Canis lupus familiaris: one gene and its partners. The protein of the gene in region 1 interacts with the protein of each later gene in a pairwise test. Links are inferred from orthologs where the notes say so. Each region holds a gene or a part of one and is shown in the gene's direction. Other genes may lie near its edges. The genes, in order: ARL6IP1, TUFM, SNX15, SUCLA2, SNX11, SNX12 and MYG1.

Region 1 (4,214 bases):
TTAAGACCTTTTCATTTTCTTTTGAAGAGGGAGGGGGAGGGCCTGTTCTACAAACTTCACAGCTCTAAAGGCTCCCCAGACGCGATCTCTGTATCTATCCACGGCCTGCATCTTACCTACAAAAGCCTAGTTTCTCCCCAAAGTGGCACTTTATTGAAGAGTCCCCTTCCTTCGCAAAGGCCTTCTTCCCCGTCTCCCCGCCCCTACCCTCCGACATCGTGGTAAAAAGTCACACCCTTCCCTGAAATTCACCGAGCTCTGGAGCCGTGTCCTCTCAAACTCTTAGGAACCTGGGTAGTCTCTTAAAGTCACGTTTGTGGCATACTACAGGTCATCATAAAGAGGACTTAAAAGGCCGGAACGTAAAAAGCCACGGTGAGGTCTTCCGGAAACCTCTCTGATCGGGTCAACAGGTCAATGTCCCATTTATAACCACTGGCATGGTTTCGTTCCTATTACGGAAAACCAAAAAAACGCTTAATGCATTTTGAAATCCTGCAGAGAAAAGACGTGGGAGTCATTCGTCTGGTGCTAAACTGCTTACGAATCCACCCCACCCCCACCCCCACCCCCGAGGAGGGCGGTTTACCTCCTTGCTTAGCAAGACCTCTCATCTCAGGAAGGAAGGAGGTTCGGTCAACACCTGACCCTTCACGCGGAGGGGCGTCGTCGTCTCCTAAGCAACCCAAACGCCCCGCCCCGCCCCACCCCACCAAGGAGTTCCCTTGGAGACGCCCACGAAGAAGCCGACTTTGGAGAAATCGGTGCTTTTCCCCTCCCCACCCCCACCCCCCACCCCCCGTGTTGGAGAACTAAGCCCAGATTGCGCTCCTCCTCCCCCGCCCCTTCCTCCATCCAGCTAAGGCCTTACTCCTGATTGCTTGCACGCGGCGGACTGCCCTTTCCTCCCGGGGTGGGCACGAGCGTCCGAGCCGCGGGGCCGGGGGAGGGGGAGGGGAGGGGGACGGGGGCCCGGCCGGGGCGGCCCGAGCGGCGAATGCCACCGAGTGGCCGCGCGGGGGCGCAGCGAGGGCCACCGATCGCAGCGAGGTCGGCGTCACCGCGCCGTCCTCCTGATAACGCGGGGCGTGTTTTGTTTCCCCCAGGACTAAATCCCGAGAGCTAGCGCGGCGGGGCGGCCACCGCGGGTCACGCAGCCCGGGACCGGGGCGCGGGGGGGCCCCGCCGCGGCAGTTCAACCGCTCCCGAAAGGCCTGGGCGGGGCGTCCCACAGCTCCTGGGCGCTGATTGGCCGCTCCTTGTCCCCGCCCCCTCGGCCTGCGCGGCCTCGGTCTCCTTTGACCCCGATTTCAAGCCATGCGCCGGGCCGCGGTTGGTCGGGCCGCCCCGGAGCTTGAGTTCAATCCACCCAATGAGGAGCGGGCTTCGCGGGGCCTGTCGGGAAGGCTGGCTGGTGTATATAAGCGGCCTGCGGGGCGTCCCCTTCGCGCCTGGGTCGCCGTGCGGGTCTCGGCGCGGAGCTCGCTGTGTGCGGGAGGGGCCGGCTTGCGCTCGCTCGGGCGGCACTTCAGGGACGATGGCGGAGGGAGATAATCGCAGCACCAACCTCCTGGTGAGTCGCGAGGGGAGCAGGCAGGGGCCTCCGGGCTTGGGCGGGGGCTCAGCCTGGCAGCGCTCTTGCGGCCTCGTTCCTCCCACCGTGGTGGGCCCGGCCCTCCTCCCCCTCGGCCCCGGGTGGGTGCAGCGGGGCGGTCCCGGACCGGGCGGCCCTTAACACCCCGTGGGGCAGCTACGGGGCGAGGTGAGGACGGCGCGTGACCAGCCCCCGCGGATCGGGGAGGAAGTGGGAGAAGGGGGGGCTGCGATGAGCCTGGGGCGCAGGCCTCCAGGGGCCTGTCTGTCGAGCGCTTTGAACCCCAGGCCCCCAGGCTCTTCTACGGGGTTCCCCTCCTCTTCCCTTCGTTCTTTAGCCCCAATACTTGGGCAGGGGTGGGGGGAGGGGGGAGGACGGGAGAGGGGCGGGGAGGGTCAAAGGGCCACTGGCGAGAATTTGCTGGAGCTGGCGCAGCTTAAACCCGCAGGGAGGCTGTGAACTCACCGCGGGGAACTGGGATTAGAGGTCCAGCTGGAAGGACAGTGGGGAAGGACCTTGGGTTTGCCTGGAGTTTGCAAGGGAGGGGTGTGTGTGTGTGTGTGAGAGAGAGAGAGACAGGTGGACTTTAGAATAAGCAGGGGTCTGAAGGAACTGCAGTGGTGTCTCACGGGCGGATAAATCTAACCTACTTGTTTTCACGGCGCGATCTAGGCAAAAAACGAGAGAAATCCTTGCCTTTTTCTTTTCTTTTTTTTTTGTCCGTTGCCACAACGAAACAGCATTTCATCCTTGACGTTGGATATTCCAAGAGCCCGGGTGCTAACGAGTTTGGTGACCTTGCAGGGCAGCCGTGATGGTGCCAGATTTTCGTTTTGCATTGGTGTTTAGAAATGCACGGCCTGTTCCTGTAACGCACATGCCAGCACACTTGTCTGTGGCTAGCCGAGTTAGCTCCGGCCAAGTTCCAGTTAAGGGGAATTGATCGAAGCACAAAGAAATTGTCCAGCAAATTCACACAGTTTGTTGAGGTGACCGAGCCTGGCCCGAAGCTCAGCTGCTCTTTCCAGCAGAAAGCAGTGTAACTTTAAGCAGAACAAGGCCCTTGGCTTTGGATTTCCTGGGTTCAGATCTCTTAACCTCCATGTATCTGTTACTTCATCTGTAAAATGAGGCGAGTAACAATACCATCCTTTGAATTCATTGGGAGGATTAATTAAAGTATAAGCATATAAAATACTTAGAGCTTCTGGCACATAGTAATCTTCTGTTTAACTATATTAAGCGTGGTGTATATAAAGTCAGGAATGTTGAAGTCCCCCAAGTAATCAGTGTGGCACAGATAGATAGCATCTCTAGTAAGATTAGGCTGTCCTGTCCTCTCTCTTTTGTATATTTCCCCATGATAACATTTATAAGGGCATGTGGGTTTCTTTCTAGTTTTTTTCCTGTACCAAAATCAGTATAGGGTTTTTGTTTTTGTTTTTTTGTGTTTTTTTTTGCCACATTAGCTCATTCCAGAAGTCTACTTTCAGCTAGGTTGTCAGTCTTGCAGAGAAATTTGAAGTCTAACCAAATGTTCTGGTAAGTGTAAGAAGCACTCATTGTATGGAGATACACTGAGCTTGAGATGCCTCATGTAATTTGGTGAAAGTAAGTTTTACTTAATTGTGCAAATGATGCCAGCATCTAAAGGATTCCATTACACAGCGCTATTTTAAAAATTGAATGCTGTTCAGAGAGAGGCTTTCTTAATGGATTTAGAAGTAGGAGTATAAATCAATGAGATGACAAAACAACAGATCAATCAATTCTAACCACCTGAAAAATGAGCACATTTGAAGTGATCTAATTTTATATTTTGGGTGCTGCCACTTAGTGCATGACTTTGAGAAAGCTGGTTACCCATCTAAGGTCACTTAGATGGACCTTATCCATAAGGTCTTATAAGGATAAGGTCTCTTATCCCTACTTTGAGGGCCTCTACTAGGATTGTTAACATTATGTATGAAGAGTAGCCCAGTGCTTGGACTTGGTGACTTGGTGACTGTTAAATGGTAGGTTGCCACCTCCCCCCCCCTTAATTGATTTCTGTCTTGCTACCAAAATTGCAGAATTATTTAGAAACTAAGATAGTGATTTGATTGAGGGCTCTTTTACATTCTTGGTGTCTTAAAAAAAATTAACTGAGAAGCACAGAAATGTTGGGAGTGGTAAAATGATCACTTTACATGTTGGTCTTGTGTAGGCTGCAGAGACTGCAAGTCTGGAAGAGCAGCTGCAGGGATGGGGAGAAGTGATGCTGATGGCTGATAAAGTCCTCAGATGGGAAAGAGCCTGGTTTCCACCTGCCATCATGGGTGTGGTTTCTTTGCTGTTTCTGTAAGTGAGCTATTAAATTATTGTGGATTGTGCTTGTTATTAATAAGGGCTCAGGTAACACACAGCCTCTTTTGTAACCTATAATCTGTAAAGAATGCCTTTTCTTGGAGCAGTTCTCCTAGTTTTCAGTAACCTAAACCAGTTGAATAAATGAGTGGCTCTCACACTTTTTGGCCTAAAGAACCTTTATATTCCTAAAAAGTATTGAGGACCCCAAGGGGCTTTTGTCTCTTGATGTTTACATTAACCATTGCAGCTATGATGTCATCATATTCTGAAG
Region 2 (3,999 bases), about 8.0 Mb from region 1:
GCAACATGGGTGCCTTGAATGTGAGCCTATACGAAGCATTTGCACAATGCCTGATACACACACAAAGCTCTAGCTCTGAGTTTTGGAGCGTGGGAAACAGCGTGTGGTATAATAAATAGTTTCCCTGTCTGTGCTCAGACCCTCCTGAATTATAATCTTCAAGGGAGGAATTAGGGGATCTATTTGAAACAAAAACCATGGGTGGAGTCTTAGGATCTGATGAGTTTGGGAAACACCATTTGGGTTAAGCACTGCCATTCTCATCCCAGGGTGATGAGATGATGGAGGTGAAAGTTAAAGGTCATTTGCGAGGTTTGCACTCACTTGTTCAGTCAACAGAAGTTTCCTGAGCGCTCACTGGGTGCCCCACCCTATGTTTGGTGCTGGGGACACTGCAGGAACAAGAAAGACTCAGGCTGCGGGTATGGGCACCTGCGGCGGGTCCCTCACCTCGGTACCATCTGCGTTAACTGGGTAGCGATCAAGGGAATTAGTCTCTGGCCTGCTGGGGGGCCCCAGGGGTGGACGGCCAAGTTGTCTCTCCCCGCAGGTTGTGAGCCCGAGGGCGGGTATTTGAGGGTCAAGGACTGTGGGGCCCGGAGGCCCCTGGGCTCATTGCTGCCTCCTGTCCAGCTCATTTCCTCTCAGGGCCAGATGTCAGAATCTCCCCACGAAGTAGATACTACTGTTCCCATTTTACAGATAAGAAAACAAAGGCTCAGCGGAGAGATGGGTCACATTTGCGCGCTACCCGCGAAAGGCTTCCAGGCCCGTGTGTCTCAGCCTGGCCGCAGGGCCTGATCCTACCTCCAGCGGCGGCTCAACGGCCGCCAGATCTCTCGCCAGACCCGCGCGGTGCGTCGGCCTCCCGGGGGCTCTGGGCCAGAACGCCCCCGAGCAGCCCGGGCCCTGGCCGCCGCCTCGGGCTCCTGGAGGCCGGCCCCCTCGCTCCCGACCCCGCCTAGCCCTACCTGACTCCCAGGCCCCGCGCAAACACAGCGCGCCGCCCCGGGAACTACAACGCCCGTGAGCCTCCGCGGCGCTGGGGAGAGACCGGACGCTCCACGTCGCCGCCAGAGACAACCGCTTTGCCCTCATCAGCACGCGAGGCCCGAGGGCGCTGCGGAAACCTCCCTCCCTCCCCGCCCTCGAGACACCGGCACCTTCCCGGCCTTGTCTTGGGTCCTACGCCCGGAAGTCGTATGATGGCCATGAAGACTGGAGGCTAGAGAGACCCAGACTTGTGCTCTGGGCCTTCACTTCCGCCGGAAGTGACCTCCAGTCCCCCGTGCCCTTCCCTTTCAGCACGCGCGGGCGCCCGGGACCCGGCACTCGGGGCTCGAGTACGACCACCATGGCGGCCACCACCCTGCTGCGCGCGACGCCCCTCTTGAGCGGTGAGGGGGCGGGGAAGGCCATGGCGGCGCGGGGCCACGTGGGGGTTGTCGCGAGCGGCCGGGATCGGACCCGCGCCCTGACTCCCAGCCTCTGCCCCGGCAGGTCTCGGCGCCGGCCCGACCTCCCTGCTGCAGGGTCTGTTGCGGCCGCTGAAGGCCCCAGCCCTGCCCCGCTTATGCCGTGGCCTGGCCGTGGAGGCCAAGAAGACCTATGTGCGCGACAAGCCCCATGTGAACGTGGGCACCATCGGCCATGTGGACCACGGCAAGACCACACTGACCGCGGCCATCACCAAGAGTAAGCGGGGATGGGTCGGGGGCGTCCGGAAGCGCCCGCCCAGCAGGAGAGACCTGGAGCTGGGGAGGTGCTGCTGGAAGTGTTGTGGCCCCAGGAGCCAGAACCCTGCGGGCAGTGGATTGCAAGATGCGGGAAACACATTTCTCCTGAACGTGAAAGATTTTGTGATGCATAAGCTGGGGAGCCGGAATGGCCTCTCTCTTGTCGTGGCCAGTACCCTGTAGGCAGAGGGTGCTTTACCCTAGAGAAGTCGCAGGGCTGGACCATGAGGCCTTGTTACATTTCCCTCTGACCCGAGTTACACCCACTGCAGGAGCTGAGGGTGTGTCATGGACACATTATTCTGGCCGACGGTCCTTTTGTATAGTAGGTGGGAGGGACTCGGTGTGGCTTAAGCCTTGCCTCCTTACCTCTGGTACTTCATCTGAGAGGCTTATTCTTCTCCTTCCCCTTAGTTTTAGCCGAGGGAGGTGGAGCCAAGTTTAAGAAATATGAAGAGATTGACAATGCCCCTGAAGAACGAGCCCGAGGAATCACAATTAACGCGGCTCACGTCGAGTACAGCACTGCTGCCCGCCACTATGCCCACACAGATTGCCCAGGTCATGCAGATTACGTTAAGGTGAGTGTTGCTGGGTACAGGGTCAGGGGCTGTCTCCCACCAGAAAAAATGTTGGACTTGTGGAGAGGTTAGGATATTCAGGGTGCATGGGTTGAGGTCCTGGATTTCTGGGCATAGCCACTCAAAGTGGGTGGTAAGGAGATAGCAGAAAAAGGTGGGCCTCCATTCCTAACTGCTGTGCTTGGTTAGACGGATTTGGAGCTGAGGTGAGGGGGTCCTTGAACTGGGCTGTTGTTTCCTCTCTTCCTACTCAGAATATGATCACAGGCACCGCCCCTCTCGATGGCTGCATCCTGGTGGTGGCGGCCAATGACGGCCCTATGCCCCAGACCCGAGAGCATCTGCTTCTGGCCAGACAGGTACTCAAGAGCCTGGGGAGGGGTGGAAAGAGAAAGAGTGGGAAATTGGGTCCATTCAGGATACTATTTCTCTCTCTTTGCCATCCACAGATTGGAGTAGAGCATGTTGTGGTGTACGTAAACAAAGCAGATGCTGTCCAAGACCCTGAGATGGTGGAGCTGGTTGAGCTGGAGATCCGGGAACTGCTCACTGAGTTTGGCTACAAAGGGGAAGAGACCCCCGTCATCATAGGCTCTGCCCTCTGTGCCCTTGAGGTGAGGGGGGGGGGGAGGGGGTCAGGCAAGGGCTGTTACTGGCATCGGATGGGGCTGGATGGGTGTCCAGAGCTTTGCTTTGAGTCTGGGGAGCATCTCTTAGTAAGAGGAACAGAATGACAATTTCAGAATCCTGTCATCTCCCCCCATAGCAACGAGACCCCGAGCTAGGCGTGAAGTCTGTGCAGAAGCTGCTGGATGCTGTGGACACTTACATCCCAGTACCCACCCGAGACCTGGAGAAGCCTTTCCTGCTGCCTGTAGAGTCCATTTACTCTATTCCTGGTGAGGACCCTGTTCACTTGCACCCTTCTCTAGCTATAGCCTGATCCAGAATACCTGATGTCCTGTCCTATTTTTTTCCAGGCCGGGGCACGGTGGTGACAGGTACACTAGAGCGTGGCATTTTGAAGAAGGGAGATGAGTGTGAGTTCCTGGGACATAGCAAGAACATTCGCACTGTGGTAACAGGTATGGGAAAGATGCCTTGGGACCCAGGGTCTGGCTCCAGGATTTCCCTTGCAGATCCTTTGTGCCTTCCCTCTGCCCTAGACCCTCCTCCCTTGTCTCGCCTCCCTCCTAGGTATTGAAATGTTCCACAAGAGTCTGGAGAGGGCAGAGGCAGGCGACAACCTGGGGGCCCTGGTCCGAGGCTTGAAGCGGGAGGACCTGAGGCGTGGCCTGGTCATGGCTAAGCCAGGATCCATCCAGCCCCACCAGAAGGTGGAGGCACAGGTGAGGGAGGGCTCCCAATGAGGATGGGCAGTGCTGAGCCAAACTGCCCCATGCAGAGGCAGTCTTTCCAACCAAGCATAGCTTCACCCTTGTTCTCTCTCTTGCAGGTTTATATCCTCAGCAAAGAAGAGGGTGGCCGCCATAAGCCTTTTGTGTCCCACTTCATGCCTGTCATGTTCTCCCTGACTTGGGACATGGCCTGTCGGGTTATCTTGCCACCAGGGAAGGTATGGTGGGTACAGGGAATGTGAAGAAGTAGAAGAGACACTCTTCGTTATCAGCTCTATCTACTCACAGTTCCAATTATGTGACAACATGGGTGACTTTTCCTTG
Region 3 (4,226 bases), on another chromosome or scaffold:
CAAGAAGACTTGGAGCCAGTCCTGCTGGGAGAGCTTGAGAGAGCAAAAATAATGTCTATAAGTGGCCTCTACGGGCAGCGGTTTAGCGCCGCCTTCGGCCCAGGGTGTGATCCTGGAGACCCGGGATCAAGTTCCGCATCAGGCTCCCTGCGTGGAGCCTGCTTCTCCCTCTGCCTGTGTCTCTGCCTCTCTCTCTCTGTCTCTCATGAATAAATAAATAAAATCTTTTTTTAAAAATTAAAAAAATAAAAATAAAAGGGATCTCTAGAGGTGTGTGTTGTTCAAGGGGACACCACCCCATCTAAGTCTCCTCCCAAACACCTCCTGGATAATCTACCCTATGTCTGAGCTTCCACCCGTCTCATTTGGGAGTTTCCTTTGTCTCTTTCTGGAAACTGGCAGTACGGTGCCCACCATAAGAGCGGCCGTGAGCACTTGAGCGCTTCACCCACGCTATCACTTTTAAACTTCACAACCTGGCTGTGGTGGTATCCATCAGAGTCCTCAACAGCTTGTCCCAGAAATGATCACAACTGCCTTCCGCAGAAAGGATGGTCTTGGGAAGATACTAAGATACTAACGCTGATTTGGGACAGCATCCTGATGGAGCTCTCAGGATGCCAGACATCAGGTTTGACAAACAGGGTGCCCAGAGGCTGGGCAGCTGAGCCCACAGCCAGCATTGCACATCATGAACAAATCAGTCCCCTTGCTAGGCACTGTGCACTCTGTTTCTCCCTCAAGAAACTCAAGAATTAGGCTTCTGGGGAGAGTCCTCCTCCCCTACCCAGGACTTGGGGCAAGGAAAGGAGCTGGCACCTTTGGATTCCAGGAGTAGGAGGCTGATGGGCTATACCTATTAGAGAACTACCTCCAAACAAAGATATGGTGCTAACAGAGAGGTGGGGGTGAATGCTGGACAGACCAGGAGGGGAAAGAAAGAAACATCCACTGCAGTAGATTCTATTAGAAACATTATAAACGTTCTAGAGAGGAGAAACTTAAGCTCAGGTAGTTAAGGGAAACTCATACAACTGGTAAGAAGTGTGACTTCAGAACCTGTGAGGCCATCCTCTTCTCTGGAGCTCTTTTTTGCTTCCCCTACCCTTGCAGAAAACATGAATTAGCGAATCCTACGGAAGGAAACAGGGAAATGATTTGGCTACATCTGCCACACACTCGGCACAATAAAAGTTGGGTGAGTGGATGAACGAAGGGGACCAGAAAGCATAGGAGAAGTCGTTTGGACACGTTTGATGGGGAAAGCTCGAGCACCTGTCAGCTAAGTGATCCCACCTCCCCGGTTCTTTTTTTTTTTTTTTTTTTTTTCCCCCACCTCCCGGGTTCTTATCTCTTAAACTACCTAGTTCACGCCTTACCCGCCACCGAGAACTTTTTAGACGCTCCCTGGCCGCACGCCAAGGCCAAGGACTGCGCCGTCACTTGCGACCCGCTCCCTAGGCTCGAGGAAGAAGGGCGCAGGCCTGGGAGATGCGGGGCCCGGCGGAGACTGACCTGGAGGGGCGGGGGCGGCGTTGAGGAGGCAGAGGCCGGCGGTCAGCCCCACTCCAGCTCGGTTGCCATGTCCCGCCAGGCGAAGGACGACTTCCTGCGACACTACACAGTCTCGGACCCCCGGACCCACCCCAAGGGCTACACCGAGTATAAAGTGACCGCGCAGGTGAGGTGGGCCCGGGTGGGGACCTTTACCCTTTTAACAAGAGGTGGGGCAGTGTTTTACCTTAAGGCAAGGCGCCGCTGGTCGCTCCCTTTTTAGACGACAGAAATGGATTTCCCCTTTAAGGGGAGCCTGCGGGTAGAGCCCCGGCTTACTTCGGAGCGGTCCAGTGGAGCGGCCCTGGGAGGGCGCTGTCCTTTTAAAAGGGCTTGGACCGTAGTTCTTGGAGTGGGAGGGGCGGGTTCCCACGCCCTACGTGTGGCGTCAGCACTGCGGGCTGTGAATTTCTTCAAATTAGCACGGAAACTCTGGCTCCGTGCAAATGTTAGTTCTCCAGTTTCTTGGATTAGGTTTGTGTGAACCGCTTGGTTTGATATTAACATAAAAGCCCTTTTTTTTCTTTAGTTTAATTTTTAATTTTCTTTCAAAAAAACTCTATGACTTTAAAAATCCTTACAGCTTAGGGATCCCTGGGTGGCGCAGCGGTTTGGCGCCTGCCTTTGGCCCAGGGCGCGATCCTGGAGACCCGGGATCGAATCCCACATCGGGCTCCCGGTGCATGGAGCCTGCTTCTCCCTCTGCCTGTGTCTCTACCTCTCTCTCTCTCTGTGATTATCATAAATAAATAAAAATTAAAAATAAAAATCCTTACAGCTCAAAGAGAATTTTAAAGAGTAAGTCAGAAAAAAAAAAAAGAGTAAGTCGGTCTGCAGCTTCGCAGTCAGAGCTGGAAGACAGAAAGTGAAGTTGATTATGGAGCAGTAACAACGTTATAGGCACATTTTACAGATACATAGGGGGAACCACGAGAAGGATTTAAAAAACAGTGTAAAAGAGTATCTGCAGAATGATATATAGGAGAGCTGGTTGGGGGAGACTTTTCACTGTAAATTGTTTATTACTTTTAGAATTTTAAACTAGAGGCACCTGGGTGGCACAGTGGTTGAGCATCTGCCTTTGGCCCAGGTTGTGATGCCAGTGATGCCAGGGTCCTGGGATAGGCCCCACATCGGATCCCCCATCGGGTTCCCCCGCAGGGAGCCTGCTTCTCCGTCTGCCTATGTCTCTGCCTCTCTGTGTGGCTCTCATGAATAAATAAATAAAATCTTAAAAAAAAAAAAAGAATTTTTAATTAGGCGACTATTAAATGGTACATTAATAACTATTAAGGGGAAGTTGCAAAGTGATTTAGGTGCAGAATCCTAGATGTTTAAAAGGAACTTTCCCTATTTCTTTTATGTCTTTTCCTTGTCAAATAAAAACAAGACACACATGCAGAAAGATAGTCCCTAAGAAGACTAGACTGGAGGGTGGCCAGGGACTGTACTCTTTTCTGATAAATCTTTCTGTTGGTTTTTTTTTTTTTTAATTTATTTATGATAGTCACAGAGAGAGAGAGAGTGAGAGAGAGAGAGGCAGAGACACAGGCAGAGGGAGAAGCAGGCTCCATGCACCGGGAGCCCGATGTGGGACTCAATCCCGGGTCTCCAGATTCGCGCCCTGGGCCAAAGGCAGGCGCCAAACCGCTGCGCCATCCAGGGATCCCTTTCTGTTAGTTTTTAAACATTCATTACTTTGATATGTTTTTATTATAACTTTTAAAGAGAAGTAATTTTCCCTCTTTTACCATCCCCATTCATCTGCCATCTTGGTGAGAATTAATGCCACTATGTCCTTCTTTATCCTTGCATATAAACCTTATATTTAAAAGCAGTTATGTGTACCTAGTTTATTATTTACACACAGTCTCACCGGTCACTTGCTGGTATTCCTCAGTTTTTTGTTGTTTCGCCTTGTAAATTTTCTAAACCAAAACAGGGACGCCTGGGTGGCTCAGAGGTTGAGCGCCTACCCTCACGCCCAGAGCATGATCTTGGAGTCCCAGGATCGAGTCCCACATCTGGCTCACTGCATGGAGTCTGCTTCTCCCTCTGCCTATGCCTCTGCCTCTCTGTGTGTGTGTCTCTCATGAATAAATAAATAAAATATTTTTTAAAATTCCACAACATAATTTATGTAAGTAATGCACGTAGATCCTAAGTGTATAGCTCAATAATTTTTGTATATGGATACATCTGCACTGGCAGTGCTCAGATCAGGATATAGACATTTCCCTCCCCCAGAGAGTTTCTTTGTACGTTTCTCATCTATAGTCCTCCTCTCAGAGAGGTAACCGTTGTCCTGACTTCTGTTCCCCTAGATTACTTTTGTCTGTTCTTGAGCCTCATACAAATGAAATCATATACACAGCAAGTACTCGCTTGTGTCGGGCCTTTTTCCTTCTCTATATAATGTTTTTTGGAGTTTATCCATGTTGTTGCGTGTTGAAGTAGTTTGTTCTTTTTTATTGCCATGTGATGGTAGCCCCTTGTATAAATATACCACCATTTCTTTATTAATTTTCTTGTTACTAGACTTCTAGGTTATGTCTAAAAAAATGTTTTCTGTTTTGTTTTTTTTAATGTTTAGTTGTTACGAGTTGTATGAACATTCATGTGCAATTCTTTTTATGGACATGTGCACCCATATTTTCTTAGTATGTACCTAG
Region 4 (3,998 bases), on another chromosome or scaffold:
CGGGGCAAGGTCCGCGGGCCGGAGCGGGCGCGGCGGGCTCCGGGGCCCGGCACAGGGAACCCACGCCCCCCGCGCCCCCGCGCAAGGAACCCGCGCCCCCGCACAGGTCACCCGCCCCCCCCGCGTCCCCGCGCAGGGAACCCGGGCACCCCGCGCCCCCGCACAGGTACCCACGCCCCCGCGCCCCCCGCACAACTCACCCGCCCCCCACCCCCGCGCACCCGCACAGGTCACCCGCGCCCCCGCGCCCCCCGCACAGGTACCCACGACCCCGCGCCCCCGCACAGGTACCCACGCCCCCGCGCCCCCCGCACAGGTCACCCGCGCCCCCCGCGCCCCCGCACAGGTCACCGGCCCCCCCCCGCGCACCCGCACAGGTCACCGGCCCCCCCCCACCCCCGCGCACCCGCACAGGTCACCCGCGTCCCCGCGCCCCCCGCACAGGTACCCACGACCCCGCGCCCCCGCACAGGTACCCACGCCCCCGCGCCCCCCGCACAGGTCACCCGCGCCCCCCGCGCACCCGCACAGGTCACCGGCCCCCCCCCCCCCCCCGCGCACCCGCACAGGTCACCGGCCCCCCCCCCCCCCCCGCGCACCCGCACAGGTCACCGGCGCCCCCGCACAGGTCACCCGCGCCCCCGCGCCCCCCGGCGCAGGGACCCTGGGACCCCGCGCCCCCGTTCAGGGAACCTGCCCCCTCCGCGCCCTCGCGCAAGGAACCCGCGCCCCCGCGCCCCCCGCACAGGTCACTCGCGCCCCCAGCGCCGGGAACCGGGCCCCTGCGCCCCCTCCCGCCCCCCCATGCATGCAGGGAACCCAGGCGCCCGCCCGCCCGCCGCGGGGGAGGAGGGAGGAGGGAGGAGGGGGAGGGGAGGGGAGGGGGAGGGAGGGGAGGGGAGGGAGGAGGGAGAAGGGAGGGAGGGAGGAGGGAGGAGGGAGGAGGGGGAGGGGAGGGGAGGGGGAGGGAGGGGAGGGGAGGGAGGAGGGAGAAGGGAGGGAGGGAGGAGGGAGGAGGGAGGAGGGAGGAGGGAGGAGGGGGAGGGGAGGGGGAGGGGAGGGGAGGGGAGGGAGGAGGGAGGGAGGGAGGGAGGGAGGGAGGGGCGGGGCCGGAGCGCGCGGCCCGAGCGTCTGGGCCGCCGGCCGCCGCGCCTACTGCGCCTGCGCACGCCGCGAGGGGACGGGGTCGGGCTCAGCAATGGCGGCCTCCGTGTTCTACAGCCGGCGATTGGCCGCCGCCGCCCTCCGCAGCCGCGGGTCCCGGCCGGCGCTGCGGGCCGCCGCCCAGGTATTGCGGCCCCGCCGGCTCTCGCTTCGAGAGGGTCGGCAGGAGAAAGGGCGAGGTGGGAGACCCGGCTCCTGCGGGCGGGCCCGGCTCGGGGTCATTTCGCAATAGGTGACATTGGGTGACACGGGGGCGCCAGCCGGGCCGACGGGCGGCGTGTCCCGGAGGGCTGCCCGCCCTGACCGCGCGTCTCCGCGCTCGTCCTCTGCCCGGGGGAGCCCCGGCGGCGGCGGCGGCGGCGGCGGCGGCGGGGGAGGAGGGAGGGGGGAGAGGAGGGGGAGGGAGAGGGGGAGGGGAGAGGGCGGGGAGGAGCGGGGGGCGCTTCTGCGCGCAGGTGCGGCGGGGAGGAGGGGCGTGCAGGTGCGGGGGGCGGGCGGCGCCTCTGGTGCAGATGCGGGGAGCTGGGGGCGCCTCTGCGTGCAGGTGCGGGGGGGGAGGGGGGAGAGGCAGGCAGGTCGCCCCGCGGCCCTGCTAGGGGCGGGGGGTGGGGGGGGGAGATGCCCTGCAGGGGGACTCGGGTCCCTTGGGAGCGGTCATAGGCGGGAACGCTTGCTGACGGGCCTTCTGGGGGGTCGAGGCCGGGCAAGTTTCCCACCTGCCCCGCCTGGCGGTTTCCTCCTGTGCTTGTGAACAGTGGGGACAAGATGCTGTTGATCATCAGCTTACCCAGCTGGGAGGTCGGACGGCGGTCCTCTGGGTCGCTTCATTTCTGGGTAGAGTGCAGCCCAGCGGTCCCAAGTTCTGGTTGGTTGGTTTGGGTTTTCTTGTTCCGGAGTGTGTGCCGCGCACAGGTTGTGGGCGTGTGATCCCATCCCTCTTATTGCCCCTGAACCTGAGCTCTTGTCGGGCAGACAGTGACCATGTGGGCCAGCCCCCCCGCTGCTGGACCCCACACCTGCTGAGCTGGGCCAGGTGCTGAGCTAGGCATTTTACTTGTACTTTCTTTCCTTTCTTTTTTAAGATTTTATTTATTTATTCATGAGAGATCCAGAGAGAGAGGCAGAGACACAGGCAGAGGGAGAAGCAGCTCCCTGCGGGACCCATGCAGGACCGGATCCCGGGACCCCGGGGTCACGCCCTAGGCCAGAGGCAGATGCTCGACCCCTGAGGTGCCCCTTACTTGTAGTTTTACTCCCTTACTTGTAGGGAGGCTTTTCAGCTCCGCTTTAAGGGCTGTCAATATTCTCATCGTTGATGGAGAAACTGTGGCTTAGAGAACAAGTAATTGGGGCTCAGCCATAAAGCAGGTGAAGTCAGAGCTAAGGCGTAATTCCAGAAGTGTCTGGCCCCAAAGCCTGTGCACTTCAATCTGCTCTTGTTTTTTTTTTTTTTTTTTCCCCCAGGAAGCCTTGGCTTGTTTTTTTTCAACGTTGTCACCAAGAAACTTGTGAAAGGGCGTGATTGGCTTCCAAGTCGATTTCAGAGTTTTACGTTTTGTTCCGAAATGAACTCCTTAGACATGACAAAGATGAATTGATCTAGATTTTTTTTTTAAAGCTGTTCATAGTCTAAACCTGGAGGCAGTGAATTACATGAGTAAGCTTCTTAACAGGAGAAGTGATTTTTTTTTTTTTGGCCTTGAACTTCCTTCTCATGAGTTTTAGAAAATGAAGATTTGATGAACAACTATGTTTTCATCTATCCTTTTGGATATTCTATTAAAAACCTCTTGTCTTTCTGTAGGGAAGTGCCTCATATGTTGTCTTGTAACATCTCTTCTTTCCCACCCACACGTTAAATAATACAGCTTTAGAATTTTGAAGACTAACCCCTTCTGTACCTGAGGACACAGAGGTTCAGGATCCTAGGAAACTTATTCAAGGTCACACATTGAGTTTAGCAAATACTTTTTTTTTTTTTTAAGCAAATATTCTTAAACTTTTTTTTTAAAAGATTTTATTTATTCATGATGGAGAAGCAGAGACACAGGCAGAGGGAGAAGCAGGCTCTCTGTGGGAAACCCGATGCAGGACTCGATCCAAGGACCCTGGGGTCACGCATGGCCTGAGCCAAAGGCAGACACTCCACTGCTGAGCCCCCCAGGGATCCCATTCTTAAACATTTTGTTTAATTCTCTGATCACCTTCTAGTTTCTCTGTATCTTTTGTCCAGTATATATCTGGTAACATAGTTCCGATTATGAGCAGATGAACTAATTTAAAATATTTTCTCAGTTGTCGTGAATCAGATCCCCCAGTAACGACCTTTCCCCACATTTTAATAAATATGATTTAAACTAGGTGAATGACTAAATAGGTGGTAGTATAGGGATTTGGCCAGGAATTGGTGGCCTTTTGGCAGGAGGAATATGCTAAGTGATAATGTGGAGAAAGACAAAGACTTAAATGTGGGAATCCTTGTGATTATGCAGGAATATTTATTACCAGCATAATTCAAAAGTCGTATTTCAAGTCATAACTTATAGTGGTACAAGGAAAGGATTATCAATACTTCAGATATTCAAAAACCTCTAAGGGGTATAAAAGTTACCAGCATTACCCTACGAGTACTACTGATTCTTTGTGAGTATAGATATTTGAAAGAAATTGTAAAAATAGAGCTTTGTGTCATTGGTTTACCTTGAGCTATTTTTTGAAAAGTTTGAAACTGGTAGAATGTTCCAGCAACATTTCAGTGAGCACATATATTGTTTTCATCTAAATTTAACATTTTGCCACATTTGCTTTATCTTTAAAAAAAATTACATGTGCAT
Region 5 (4,293 bases), on another chromosome or scaffold:
CACAGGACAGAGGCCGGCTCTTGCGCTAGACTGTGGTCGCGGTTGTGATTTATCTTCCAAGTGTAGCGAGCGACAAGTTACGGAGGGACGACATGGAGCAGAGCTGCTGGGTTGGGAACTTGGTCAGGAGAGGGAGCATCCTCTACCACCTGTGGGTGTTTAGGAAGGAGAGCTTTCTGGGTCCTCTGGCATCAGGGGCTCAAGAATGACTGAGAAGGGATTAGGAGTCTTGGTAGCTCAAAACACTTATCACCTGAGGTTTTTTTTTTTTTTAAGATTTTATTTATTTATTTGACAGAGAGAGCAAGAGCAGGCAGAGGGAGAGGGAGAAGCAGACGGTAAACAGAGAGCCTGATGTGGGGCTCGATCCCAGGACCCTGGGATCATAACCTGAGCCGAAGGCAGAGGCTGAACTGACTGAGCCACCCAGGCTCCCTACCTGATTTGTTTTTTAACCTGCCTTTTTGAAGTAGTTTAAATGGGAGTGAGGATGGTGCTGAGAAAGCCCTGAATTGCTACGTTGAATTGTTAGGACATAGGAAACCTTTACAAGGAATCTTTGTAAAAAGCAAACGACTGCGTTCTCAGAGAGATTGGTGTTGGTAGGGGTGGAGAAAGTAAAGGGAGCTTCACATGTGGTTGAAAGGACCCAGGAAATGTAGTGCCACGTGAGATGCAGACATAGCTGAGAGGATCGCTGACTTATCCTTATTGGCATGACCACTCTATTTCCCAGATCACGAGCTAGAGTTAGGAACTTCCTTCTTCCCCTCCCTGGACAGAACTGAGCTTCATTTCATTTCCTGCTGAGGAGTGGCATCTGTGTGGAGGAAGCTGGTGGGAAGGGTAATTGCTAGAAATTATGACTCCGAATCTAGGTTTTTGTGTTTGTTCCAATGTCCAGTGTTTTTAAGGAAAAGTTAAAATGGAAACTTTGTTAGTGCCCTTTAAACTTAGATTTAAGTATACAGCATCTTGGGGCAGGGGTGCTAGGATTTTTTTTTTTTTTTTTTTGAAAGCCAGTTTAAGCCATTCGTTTCCGAGTGGTGTTAGCTCCAAAGGAAAGGAGAGAAACTTATATTTGCAGATGGTTCAGGGTCCTAGACAAACTCTTTTTTTTTTTTCTTCCCCTAGACAAACTCTTTTTGAGCCTGAGAATGATGATCACTTGGTTACTAAATCATGGTCCTGAATTTGACAAACCTTTCAAGGCACAGGAGATGTGTGAGGTCCACTGAGTGTGTGGATGATAATTGCCTTGTCATTTTGCCCATCGTTACTTTTGTGAAAAGAGATTTCAGAATATTTAACTCTCTGCTCTTGTGCTGGCAATTTACCAAATACCTGAAAAGAGAAAAAAATTAAAAGGTTAGTTGTTCACCAGCCGGTCTGTTCTTTTTGGTAACAACCTTTTTTTTTTTTTCTTTAAAGATTTTAAAAATTTATTTATTCATGAGAGACAGAGAGGCAGAGTCAGAGACACAGGCAGAGGGAGAAGCAGGCTCCATGCAAGGAGCCCGACGAAGGACTCCATCCCAGGACTCCAGGATCACGCCCTGGGCTGAAGGCGGCGCTAAACCGCTGAGCCACTTGGGCTGCCCTGGTCACAACCCTTTGACTGCTTACATTGGGGACGTTACACATGGGTTGGTAAGGAATTGGAATTTCCTTTCAGTTCAGGATGCCTTTGTGATGGTGACTGCATCAGATGAAAAATCAGATTGTTGGCAAAAGTGCAACGATGGTATCGCAGTCACAAAACCTCTGGCTTGCTCAACGGTGTAGTCCAGTCCTATCATACACCATGCAGTTTTATCCCTGTGCAGTGGCTGTGTGTGGAGAGACCTTCTGGTGTACTGGAAAGATTTGGGAAAGCTGTTTGCTCTGCTAATTTTGCGGTGTAAATGAGTTCCCCTTCTCTTGAAACGTTAGCCTTGTGTTAGCAAAACATAAAATAGAAGGAAACTCATTACACGCGGTTCTAATGGTAAGGCAAAACTAATAAGAGAATGTGTTTAAAATTAATTGTAGGCCTGTAAAAATGAGTGGGTGTGTGAATGGGTATGGGGGGAGGAGAGAGAGAGCTTAGAGATAGTCTTGTTTTCCCAGGAGCCGGCCTGGATCATTTGTTGGCAGTACATATTGGCTGAAGTCAGTTTTCATTTCAAGGTAAATTGGAAAGGGAAATTAAACCTTATTGTTCCGCTCTTAAGAGAGGAGAAGGGGGTGGAGGCGGCAGCCAGGGTGGATGCTGTTGGAGTGGTTCTAGGAGTAACAAGATTAGTGCTGTATTTTAACAGAAGGTGACATCATGGGCCCCTTTGGACTGGAGTAACCCAGCGCTGGAGGCTTCATGGGCCCCTTGTTGGAGTGGGCGATGTCGCTGCACATGTAAACTGCCACACTGGGGGAAATCAGGGGCTTAGGCTTTAATGAATCTTTACAAAGGATCGGAAAACATCCCGAGCCGACCTGTGCAGCTGTGGGGTACTTGGGCATTGGTACAAACCGGATAGCATATCGAGAGAGGAAATGACTGGAACCATTGGCTTGGGTTCTGGAGAACAGATTAGAGAAGGGAAGGTCGAAACTGGGCAGCCCATTCAGGTGCTCCCTGAGCTCCCCAGCTCCCTGATTGACTTCTGGGTAGGTGATGACTTAGCAAGACAGACTTCAGAGCCTTGGTGTTGGTGGGGCTTAATTGTCTCTAAACTGCCAGGAGGGGGCGGTGTCAGGCTCACTTGCAGAGGCTCTTGTGTGCCCCAAAGAGACTTTCACCTGCAGTCCTTAGCAGAAAAGGTCTGACCTTGAACTTGCCTATTCTGGCTACCTGACCTGAACGCTTCACAGACCTAAACATGCCTTGTTGGGCTAGACGTGGCCTAGGTAAAGGTCCTGGCTGTGGTCTGCAAAGAGGGGCAAATCCCCTGGGGCTTTTAGCTTGGCACTGAGCTAAGGTATGGGAATTTTTTTGCTTCCTCTTAAGTTTAACACAAAAACAAAAAAAGGTGCCTGGGTTTTCCCAGGGGGGAATCAATGAAAATTTTTCTTGGTAAAGAATGATAAAAATAGAGGCATGCTAACAATGATTGTTCTCCTGTCCTCTGTCCCCCATCAGATGTTTTCTTCCAATGGGCTTTTGGTTTAGGATGTTGGAAAACCAAGAGCAGGAGGTAAGCGTGTGGTCTCCAGGAAACAGGTGGGTAGAAGTTTGATGGGACTTGGGTAAAGATGCCTATCATTGCTGCATGGTGTTCTAATGACAGGAATACCTTGGGGGTTCTGATGAGCTCAACGGCAGAAGAAGGATATCCATAGTAAAGCCATTCCTGGGAAATGAGGTTCCATTTTCACTAACTTTCCCCATTCATTGGAATGTTGTTGAATGTCAGATTCACAAGGGCAAAGATTTTTGTCTCTTGTTTATGTATTACTCCCAATGCTTTAGAACTGTCTGACACATAGTGGGCGGTCAATAAATATTTGTTGAATTGAATGAATAAATAAATGAATGGTTGGTGCTGATTGGAAAAATCTGGCAACCTGTATTGTCAAAGCTGCCTTATTATGTGGCCAAGCTGAATCTGAAGGAGCCTTTCTTACCTCCAGGAGGTGATCACCGTGCGTGTTCAGGACCCCCGAGTGCAGAATGAGGGCTCCTGGAATTCTTATGTGGATTATAAGATCTTTCTCCACGTAAGTGCATCAGCCTTCTGTACGGGGTCAGCACTCTCCAGGGCTGAGGGCTAGAGCAGAGGTGGAGCCTGTTTTTGGATATTTTGACAGTCCTGAGACAGAGGAAAGAGAGAGAGGTGAGGAATGAGCTTGGGGTATGCTGTAGAGTTGCTTTCAGTCTGCCTGGTGGCACCTTGCTCAAGTTGGAGCACCTGATCTGGACTGTGGCCTGGTGGCTTGGATCCTCCGTCAGAGTGATGATGGGGATATGTGTGAATTTGGTCTTTTTCTCCTTGGCTTTTTTCTTTCTCACATGCTTCCTCCTGTAGACCAACAGCAAAGCCTTTACTGCCAAGACATCTTGTGTGCGTCGCCGATATCGTGAGTTCGTGTGGCTGAGAAAGCAGCTGCAGAGAAATGCTGGTTTAGTGTGAGTTTGCTTCTGCTTCTTTCTTGGGTCTGAGACTGGTTTTTCAGGCATGTACGTGAGAACCAGAGTTTACAATAACGAAAACTTGGCAATATGTCAGGCACTCAGGAAATCAAGACATGTGTTCTTAAATTATGTTTTCAAGTCAGTGGAAAAAGTAAAGACAAAAGTTCTAGCATTTTGACCTA
Region 6 (3,425 bases), on another chromosome or scaffold:
CGAGATAGTAAGGTATGACCCCATTCCCTGTGTGGGATCCTAGGAGGAGGATATCTACATAGCCTGAGAAGGCATAAGATCATAGTCTATAAAATCTTAAAGGCAGCGGGGGGGTGGGGGGGGCTAAACACTATCAAATCCCAACACATTGGATCTGGGTGATAACCCTTTAAACTTGAATTGAAAGCGGTGAAGTGCAGGACAAATTTTAAAGAAAACGTATCACTTGAATCAGTGGCTAGTAAAGTCATATAACTTAAACTCCTATAGATGCTAAAAATGTAAAGTATAGTGTCAGGGAAGGCCTAGCTAAATTAGTGGATGCTAGTGGATTGTTAAAGAGAGTGAGGAATATTTGAGTTTATTTCCTTTCTTTCTTTTGAGGTAGAAGGCCAGTCCTATCATAAAATCAGTTGGTTTTTGACCTGAGCCATCTTGGCTGCTCTTATGGTCTCAGTTCTTACAAGTTGCTGGCTGTGGGATAAGATAGACCTTGCCTAATAGGAAATTAAGTATACAGTGTTTCACCACCTCATTCCCTCTTCATCCTCTCTCATGTGGTTGATATTTTGCATCTGCCTGCAGATTGTAGTACCACCACTGCCTGGGAAAGCCTTGAAGCGTCAGCTCCCTTTTCGAGGAGATGAAGGGATCTTTGAAGAGTCCTTCATTGAAGAAAGGAGGCAGGGCCTCGAGCAGTTTATTAACAAGTAAGCCAAGTTCTTGGGGACTCTTCTTGCTGCTTTTGCCATCATGGTCTTTATATGTTTTGTCTGTCTCCTCTTTGTAATAAGATGTGATGCTAGTTGTGTGCTGAGCTGACTGGATCGTAAGACTCCGTTCCTTTGAGCAGAATTCTGATCCTGTACCTCAGGGTCTGAGAAAGTACTGCATGTTGGATGTGTTTGGTGGTTTCTCCCTGCTTTACCTCTCTGTCCCCCTTCTCCTATATAATATTAGGGTGGAGTGGTGCCCTGTTGTCCTCTTCTTGCTTGAACCTCTGAAAGAGCTGACGTTGCCCTTCTTCCCCTGTCCACACCCCTGTCACTCTGTGAATTCTCTCTGATCCCAAATACTACTGATAACCATCTTGGTCTCTTTATAGAATTGCTGGGCACCCACTGGCTCAGAACGAACGCTGCCTACACATGTTCCTGCAGGAGGAGGCAATTGACAGGAACTACGTCCCCGGGAAGGTGCGCCAGTAGGAGCCCCTCTCACCACTTGCCCTCTACTTTCCTGCTGAAAATGACATTGATTTTTACACTAAGCCTCTCTCTCCTTCTTTGATCTGAAGTTGGCTGCCCATCCCCTGGCCTGATAAACTGTCTGGCATTATATTTCTTGGTACCTGACTACACCGTGGGCACACTGCTATGATCCTCTTTTTTAAGGAGAGATGGGAACCACAGGCAGATGCCCTTTGCTTGGGGTGCGGGTGGGGGGATTGGATTAGAAGGCAATTTACCCATGCCAGAAGGCTAATCTTATGGGGGGGGCGGGTCTTGTGCTGGATACACTTGGATACATACTGATGCTGCAAGTCCAGGGGATTTTCTTACTCTTAGGTTTAACCAGGAACGCTGAGCAGGGAACAACCCTGCATTTCCTATCTGCATGAACTTTTTCCTTTTGGGGAAGGTGGTAGAGACCTAAATGTTCTCCTTGTTTTCTCTAGGCCTGCTCCCAGTTTTCTCAACAGTTTCTTTTGTTACTTTCTCTTCCTTGTTGCTTTTCATGGCAGTAAATCCTCCTAGAGTTTAAGCAGTCTGTTGTGTGGAGCAAGATGTGTGGGTTTTCTGGGCCCCTCATCATGGCTGCTTCAGTCAGAAGAAAGCCATAGGGCAGTAGGAGAATTCTTATTGTCTAGCCCCTCTCTTTTGTGGCTCCCCGCTCTGGCTGCCTGTTCTTGCTCATCAGCAGGTGAGTCAGTATGGGCCAGCAGTTCCTCCCCAAGCCCTTGCTACTTTACATGTTAGCCTTGCAGGTTTGGTGGCTTGAGGGGTGGGGGCAACTCACCACTGCCAGGTAACTCCCCAAAGGGTGGGAGTGGATCATTTTCTAGGTACCTCCCAGTGGTAGGGAAGGGTATCACCACCCTCCTCCTTCCATTCTCCCTTCCCCCCATCCCATTTAGTGCTGCCATGGGGCAGAAGCACGTGAACAAACCACAGTCTCTGACTTCTAAGCACTTTGAGCTGTTGAATGGGGCTCAGGGGCAAGAGTTGTCACTGACCTCCCCAGATTGGTCACAGGGTTATTGAACTGCCTGCACATGTTTCCTGTAGAACTCCAGCATCTTCCCCAGAATTTGAGCTAGAGATAGCAGCTGGGTGTGGATGTCCCAAGTCTTAGAGTCTGAAGCAGCTTTCCTGGGCTTCTGTCTGGGAGGTGATGGTTTGTTTGCTGGGGCCTGATATCCATCTCCAGTGGTGGGGTGGGAGCAAATTAACTGGTGTCATGTCAAAAGTATGGACTCTTCCCTTAGACTCTCTATCATGGAAGGATTGGAATTCTCTATATGGGGTCTTGGAGAAAAGGATTATGGAGTCTGACAAGACCCTGAAAAGAGAAATTAGGATTGGATTTTGACATAGGATTTGGAGTCCTTCTAAATGTTGAGGTTCCCTGAGACAGATCAGCTCTCCACCTGCTGAGCCTGTACCAGGGGCTGAGTAGCCCCTAGAGAGTCTCTGCTCCCTTTCCCACCTCCCCAGTGTTGGTGTTGTTGCTGCCTTTTGTATCTTCTGTTATTGACTTTTTTTAAGAGTTCTTCTTTCATTGTGCAACAAGTGCTGAAAGCCTGAGGCCCCATTTCTGCTGTGTATATATCCTGACTCGGGGCTTTTATTCAGCAAACTGTTCATTCTTCTGTCAGACAATGTCATATTCAACTCTGTTCATATTAAACCACTGTGAAGCAAGCCTCTGTTTTCCTGCTTAAGTTGTAAATATAGTATTTTTTAGTGTCTAGGATAGTCTTGGTATTGTGCAGAAATCATACAACATGGTCAGTGTCCTGAGGTGATAAGTTTTACATTTAAATAAAAAAAAAAAACTAGAATCCTAGCTGCCTGTAGCAATAGTTACCTATCTTTGCAACTCCCAATTGACTTTGTCAGAGGTAATGCATCTATTTGCAGGAAGTAGCTATAGAGCTCAATACCTGTGGTTTAGATTTAGCAAATTTGGGTTTTAAGCTTGTGGGTTCTAATTTGGGCAGAATATATTTATTGTGTGTGTGTATGCATATATATGCATATGCTATATGTGTACGTAAACGTGTGTGCACGTGCTCATCCTCCAACATACCACCTACAAACACTATTTCATAGGTTTTATACTTCAATTGAGACTATTTTCTTTTTTTAAGTTTACTTATTTACTTAGTAGAGAGAACAGAGTGAGCAAGAGAGAACATGAGT
Region 7 (4,183 bases), on another chromosome or scaffold:
AATAACCCAGGAAGTTTAAAAAGGAAGCCCATGTCCAATCCAAACCAATTAAATCAACCTAGGAAGGGGGGATGGGGAATTCTAGAGGATCGGTGTTTTTTAAAAAAACTCCCCAGGTAATTCTGTTACAGTCAGGATTGAGAACCATTGTTCTAAAGGTGAACATCTTATCCATGGTTATGTTTGACTCTTTTAATACTGTATTTGTTCATTTTTATGTCCCACTGGTTACCATATTTACTGACACATTGTAGAGTGTGAATTTGTTTGTGTGAGTATGTCCCACAGTGGATCACTGTTAAAAGTGGGTATTTTTTTTTTTTTTTTAAGATTTTGTTTACTTATTCATGAGACAGAGAGGCAGAGACACAGGCAGAGGAAGAAGCAGGCTCCATGCAGGGAGCCTGATGTGGGACTCGATCCTGGGTCTCCAGGATCACACTCTGGGCTGAAGACGGTGCTAAACCACTGAGCCACTCGGGCTGCCCAGTTTTTGGTGTTTTTAAAGATTTATTTATTTAACAGGTGCCTGGGTGGCTCAGTTGGTTAAACATCTGCTTTCAGCCCAGGTCATGAATCCAGGGTTCTGGGATCAAGCTTTGTGTTGGGCTCCCTGCTCTGTGGGGAGTCTTCTTCTCCCTCTGCTGGTCCCCCATCCCACTCATGTCTGAGCTTTCTGTGTCACATAAAATATTCTTAAAAAAAAATGTTTTTGAGAGAGTGCATTGGGGAGAGGGGGAAGGTAGAGTCTTAAGCCGACTCCACACTGAGCACAGAGACAGGCAGGGGGGCTCCTCTCAGGACCGTGAGATCAGGACCTGAGCCCAAACCAGGGGTACCACACTTAACCGACTGCACGCCCCAGGCACTCCTCAGTGTTTTGTTTTATTAACTGTTTAACTTTTTCTCACGGTTCCTAACTCTGGGTTCTCCACTTAAGCTCCAGACCAGGATCTGACTCCTCTTTCCCTCCCCCACAGCTGTCATGGAGATGATGAGCCAGAAGATTCAGCAGCTCACAGCCCTGGGGGCAACTCAGGCGACGGCCAAGGCCTGAAAGCTCGGTTCAGAAACGGTTCAGAAACGGGCCAAGTGCTCCTGCGGCGGGAGCTGGGACCTTGTGGGCGTGGCTTCCCGGGGCCCAGGACGGGAGGGGCTTGCTTCGTGCTAATAAACGTGCCCGCGGGGCCCAATGTTGGTGTCGGTGCTTTCCGCGGAGGCTGGAGGTGCGCGGGGGGCGGGGCGGAGGTGCTGCGGCCCCGCCCGGCACTGAGCGTCTAGAGGCGGGGGGCGGGGCCTGGTGGGCGGGCCCGTTGCCGTGGGAACGGCCTCCGGCGGAAGTGCGGCTGCGCGGGCGCCTCCCCTTCCGGGTCGTGACCCGCGGGCCCCGGAGGCCGCATGGGCCGCGGCTTCCCGCGCGCTCTCCTCCCGCGGCTGCTGCGGCCGCCGCCCCCCGCGCGGCCCGGACCCCGGATGCTCCGCGCGGAGCCCGTCCCGCCGCCCAAGCGACCCCGCGGCGGCCTCATGGCGCCGGCCCGAATCGGGACGCACGACGGCACCTTCCACTGCGACGAGGCGCTGGCGTGCGCGCTGCTGCGCCTCCTGCCCGAGTACCGGGTACGGCCGGGTCGCGCCCCCGCCCCGCCCCGCCCCCGGGCTCCGCCTGCGCGACCCTGGCCGCCCCCTCACCTCCTGTGCCCCGCAGGATGCGGAGATTGTGCGGACCCGGGACCCCGAGAAACTGGCAGCTTGTGACGTCGTGGTAGACGTGGGTGGCGAGTACGACCCTCAGAGGCACCGGTACGACCATCACCAGAGGTCAGTGCCCGGCGCCCTCGCTCTGACCTCGACTCCGGCGGCCCGAGGGCCCCGAGGGAGCCGAGACCCCCGTCAGGTCAGCGCTTCACTGTGCTCCGACCCGGGAGCGCGTCCTTTCCGGGGGGGCCTCCCGCCCTCCCTCCGGCCCCCAGCGCATCGCGCTCCCGCAGTGAGTCACCCTACCTCGTCCTCCGTGCTCTTTTTTCTTTTTAATTTTATTTATTCATGAGAGACAGAGGCAGCGACGCAGGCCGAGGGAGAAGCAGGCTCCATGCGGGGAGCCCGACGCGGGACTCGATCCCAGGTCCCCGGGGTCCCGCCCTGGGCCGACGGAAGGCAGGTGCTCAACCGCTGGGCCCCCCGGGCCGCCCATTCCTCCTCCTTTTCAAAGGAACTTGAGCCTTTCCAGTGTGCAGGTTCATAGCAGCACCCGTCTGCCCCAGGGCTTATACTTCCTAAAACTCTGCCCACGCCCTCCCATCTGGAAATCAAAGGACTGGGGCAGCCCCGGTGGCTCCGCGGTTTAGCGCCGCCTTCGGCCCAGGGCGGGACCCCGGGGACCTGGGATCGAGTCCCGCTTCGGCTCCCCGCATGGAGCCTGCTTCTCCCTCGGCCTGGGTCTCTGGTTCTCTCTCTGTGTCTCTGTATTTCTGATGAATAAATAAGTAAAATCTTTGGGGGGAAAAAAAATCAAAGGACTGAGTAAAAAACCCTCCCTCATACACCACATTGCTTACAGTGGTGATCTCTGAGAGATTGACGATTTTATTCGTAGGTATTTCTGTCCCTCTTTGTTAAGCATACATATTACATTCATAAATTCATAAATAATATGGAGGGGGAATCCTGGCATTTATAACCTCATCGCTTACCCTCCCTTCTCAGCCTTTTTTCAGAAGAGCTGACCCTGGTTGCACATCCCTTCCACTTCATTCAGTTCATCCATTTAGCTGGTCCTCTCCCAGTCTTTCCCTTGGAAATGCTTATGAAAAGGTTATGCTTATGAAAATGCCTTATGAAAATAAATCACACATTTATTAACACATTTTTAGGTGGGTTCTTTCTTTCTTTTTTTTTTTTTTTTTTTTTTTTTTTTTTTTTATGGAGAGAAAGTGCACACAAGCCCAGGGAGGGGCAGAGGGAGAGAGAGACTCTTAAGCAGGGTCTGTCTGTACCTGGTGGAGACCCTGAGGCCAGGGCTCAGTCTCGAAACTCAGATCATGACCTGAGTCGTGAAGAGTTGGCGCTTAACCGACTGAGCCACCAGGCACCCCAACGCTTTTGGAATATAAAGCATGTAATGAACACCCAACGGCCAATCTCCCAACCTAAGCTCTAGAAGGTTACCGTTATATTCGCACCAGTACGCAGGCACTTCTTCCCTGTCCCATGTCCCGACCTCCCCAGAAGTAGGCCGTGTCCTTAATTCTGTGTTCATCATACCCCCGTTTACTGTGTAGTTTAGCACATCTGTTTCTCTCAGTAGTTTAGTTTTGCTTTTTGGATTTTTACCTGGGGGTTTATTCTGTATTCATTTTTATGCCTTATGAATGTTTTATAGATGTTTTTATATACTCAGTAATAAAAAGCACAAAAAAATAAGCTCTAGGTGATTCTGATGGATGGGTATTTAGAAATTACGGCTGTAGCTTCTGCTTCCCTAAGATCTGTCATATCAGTAGAATTCAGGTGTGTCTACCTTTCTCACCCCTGCCAGCACTGCAGGTGGTCTGCATTTCCGCATGCTGCCTGGCACAGCGCTCTACCCTGAGCTTGTCCGCTCAAGTTCTCAGGTTCCCTACTCCCAGACTCTTCTATATGGTGGACGAGGCCTGCCATGATCTGGCCCTTGCTTACCCTTCTAGCTTTGCTTTTTTTTTTTTTTTTTTTTGCCACTCGTCACACCCAAGCTGCCTCTCTTGCAGTTCCGTGTAGAGACCTGTCTCAGCCATCATACATGTTGGTCCCTCTGCCTGCGATGCCTTTTCTCCTTCGCCTTTTGTCTGGCCGGTGAACACCTAATTCATCTTTTAGGAATGACCTGAAGTCGCTCTTCTCACCCCACCCCCATTGCCTTGTTTATAACCTACCAAGAGCATTAGCCTGGTGGTGTGCCTGCGTGTCTGCCGGTAGTAGGTGAACTTGAAGGCAGGGACATGGTCTCAGGGTTTGCTCTATCCCTGATGTGTAAAACACGAAGCCTGGCATGTAGAGAGCAGTGAATTCACCATTGTCAAATGAAAGCATGAACAGACTCCAAGCTGAGGTCCGTGTTGATCCCCATGGAGAAGCTGAAGCTCCCGCACCCAGGCGCTCTCCTCCCGACTCCTGAGCGTTCTCCAGCCCCGCCCCCTCGTGCCTATAC

The links.
Region 2: the proteins of ARL6IP1 (region 1) and TUFM interact in binary tests that used the Homo sapiens proteins (3 or more experiments, as listed by UniProt). The two-hybrid records come from large-scale screens. The link is inferred for Canis lupus familiaris from reciprocal best matches to the Homo sapiens genes ARL6IP1 and TUFM.
Region 3: the proteins of ARL6IP1 (region 1) and SNX15 interact in binary tests that used the Homo sapiens proteins (3 or more experiments, as listed by UniProt). The two-hybrid records come from large-scale screens. The link is inferred for Canis lupus familiaris from reciprocal best matches to the Homo sapiens genes ARL6IP1 and SNX15.
Region 4: the proteins of ARL6IP1 (region 1) and SUCLA2 interact in binary tests that used the Homo sapiens proteins (3 or more experiments, as listed by UniProt). The two-hybrid records come from large-scale screens. The link is inferred for Canis lupus familiaris from reciprocal best matches to the Homo sapiens genes ARL6IP1 and SUCLA2.
Region 5: the proteins of ARL6IP1 (region 1) and SNX11 interact in binary tests that used the Homo sapiens proteins (3 or more experiments, as listed by UniProt). The two-hybrid records come from large-scale screens. The link is inferred for Canis lupus familiaris from reciprocal best matches to the Homo sapiens genes ARL6IP1 and SNX11.
Region 6: the proteins of ARL6IP1 (region 1) and SNX12 interact in binary tests that used the Homo sapiens proteins (3 or more experiments, as listed by UniProt). The two-hybrid records come from large-scale screens. The link is inferred for Canis lupus familiaris from reciprocal best matches to the Homo sapiens genes ARL6IP1 and SNX12.
Region 7: the proteins of ARL6IP1 (region 1) and MYG1 interact in binary tests that used the Homo sapiens proteins (3 or more experiments, as listed by UniProt). The two-hybrid records come from large-scale screens. The link is inferred for Canis lupus familiaris from reciprocal best matches to the Homo sapiens genes ARL6IP1 and MYG1.

The regions. Positions count from the first base shown.
Region 1 is NC_049227.1:26,551,224-26,555,437, forward strand, and holds the start of ARL6IP1 (ADP-ribosylation factor-like protein 6-interacting protein 1), read left to right. Parts: upstream 1-1,414; 5' UTR 1,415-1,537; coding exon 1,538-1,573; intron 1,574-3,800; coding exon 3,801-3,934; intron 3,935-4,214. UniProt on the Homo sapiens protein: Positively regulates SLC1A1/EAAC1-mediated glutamate transport by increasing its affinity for glutamate in a PKC activity-dependent manner.
Region 2 is NC_049227.1:18,524,284-18,528,282, reverse strand, and holds the start of TUFM (elongation factor Tu, mitochondrial), read left to right. Parts: upstream 1-1,199; 5' UTR 1,200-1,354; coding exon 1,355-1,397; intron 1,398-1,500; coding exon 1,501-1,695; intron 1,696-2,150; coding exon 2,151-2,317; intron 2,318-2,571; coding exon 2,572-2,676; intron 2,677-2,766; coding exon 2,767-2,931; intron 2,932-3,083; coding exon 3,084-3,216; intron 3,217-3,297; coding exon 3,298-3,402; intron 3,403-3,514; coding exon 3,515-3,666; intron 3,667-3,773; coding exon 3,774-3,893; intron 3,894-3,999. UniProt on the Homo sapiens protein: GTP hydrolase that promotes the GTP-dependent binding of aminoacyl-tRNA to the A-site of ribosomes during protein biosynthesis. Also plays a role in the regulation of autophagy and innate immunity.
Region 3 is NC_049239.1:52,668,194-52,672,419, reverse strand, and holds the start of SNX15 (sorting nexin-15), read left to right. Parts: upstream 1-1,426; 5' UTR 1,427-1,582; coding exon 1,583-1,681; intron 1,682-4,226. UniProt on the Homo sapiens protein: May be involved in several stages of intracellular trafficking. Overexpression of SNX15 disrupts the normal trafficking of proteins from the plasma membrane to recycling endosomes or the TGN.
Region 4 is NC_049243.1:3,404,670-3,408,667, forward strand, and holds the start of SUCLA2 (succinate--CoA ligase [ADP-forming] subunit beta, mitochondrial), read left to right. Parts: upstream 1-1,198; coding exon 1,199-1,288; intron 1,289-3,998. UniProt on the Homo sapiens protein: ATP-specific succinyl-CoA synthetase functions in the citric acid cycle (TCA), coupling the hydrolysis of succinyl-CoA to the synthesis of ATP and thus represents the only step of substrate-level phosphorylation in the TCA.
Region 5 is NC_049230.1:24,345,074-24,349,366, forward strand, and holds the start of SNX11 (sorting nexin-11), read left to right. Parts: upstream 1-1,493; 5' UTR 1,494-1,642; coding exon 1,643-1,650; exon of another isoform or gene 1,651-2,109; coding exon 2,110-2,169; exon of another isoform or gene 2,170-2,557; intron 2,558-3,118; coding exon 3,119-3,173; intron 3,174-3,266; coding exon 3,267-3,341; intron 3,342-3,603; exon of another isoform or gene 3,604-3,609; coding exon 3,610-3,696; exon of another isoform or gene 3,697-3,788; intron 3,789-3,887; exon of another isoform or gene 3,888-4,004; coding exon 4,005-4,105; intron 4,106-4,293. UniProt on the Homo sapiens protein: Phosphoinositide-binding protein involved in protein sorting and membrane trafficking in endosomes. Regulates the levels of TRPV3 by promoting its trafficking from the cell membrane to lysosome for degradation.
Region 6 is NC_049260.1:55,636,610-55,640,034, reverse strand, and holds the end of SNX12 (sorting nexin-12), read left to right. Parts: coding exon 1-12; intron 13-585; coding exon 586-710; intron 711-1,105; coding exon 1,106-1,208; 3' UTR 1,209-2,925; downstream 2,926-3,425. UniProt on the Homo sapiens protein: May be involved in several stages of intracellular trafficking.
Region 7 is NC_049248.1:44,742,651-44,746,833, forward strand, and holds the start of MYG1 (MYG1 exonuclease), read left to right. Parts: upstream 1-1,383; 5' UTR 1,384-1,398; coding exon 1,399-1,617; intron 1,618-1,705; coding exon 1,706-1,818; intron 1,819-4,183. Other genes in the region: PFDN5 (prefoldin subunit 5), read left to right, coding at 981-1,057. UniProt on the Homo sapiens protein: 3'-5' RNA exonuclease which cleaves in situ on specific transcripts in both nucleus and mitochondrion. Involved in regulating spatially segregated organellar RNA processing, acts as a coordinator of nucleo-mitochondrial crosstalk.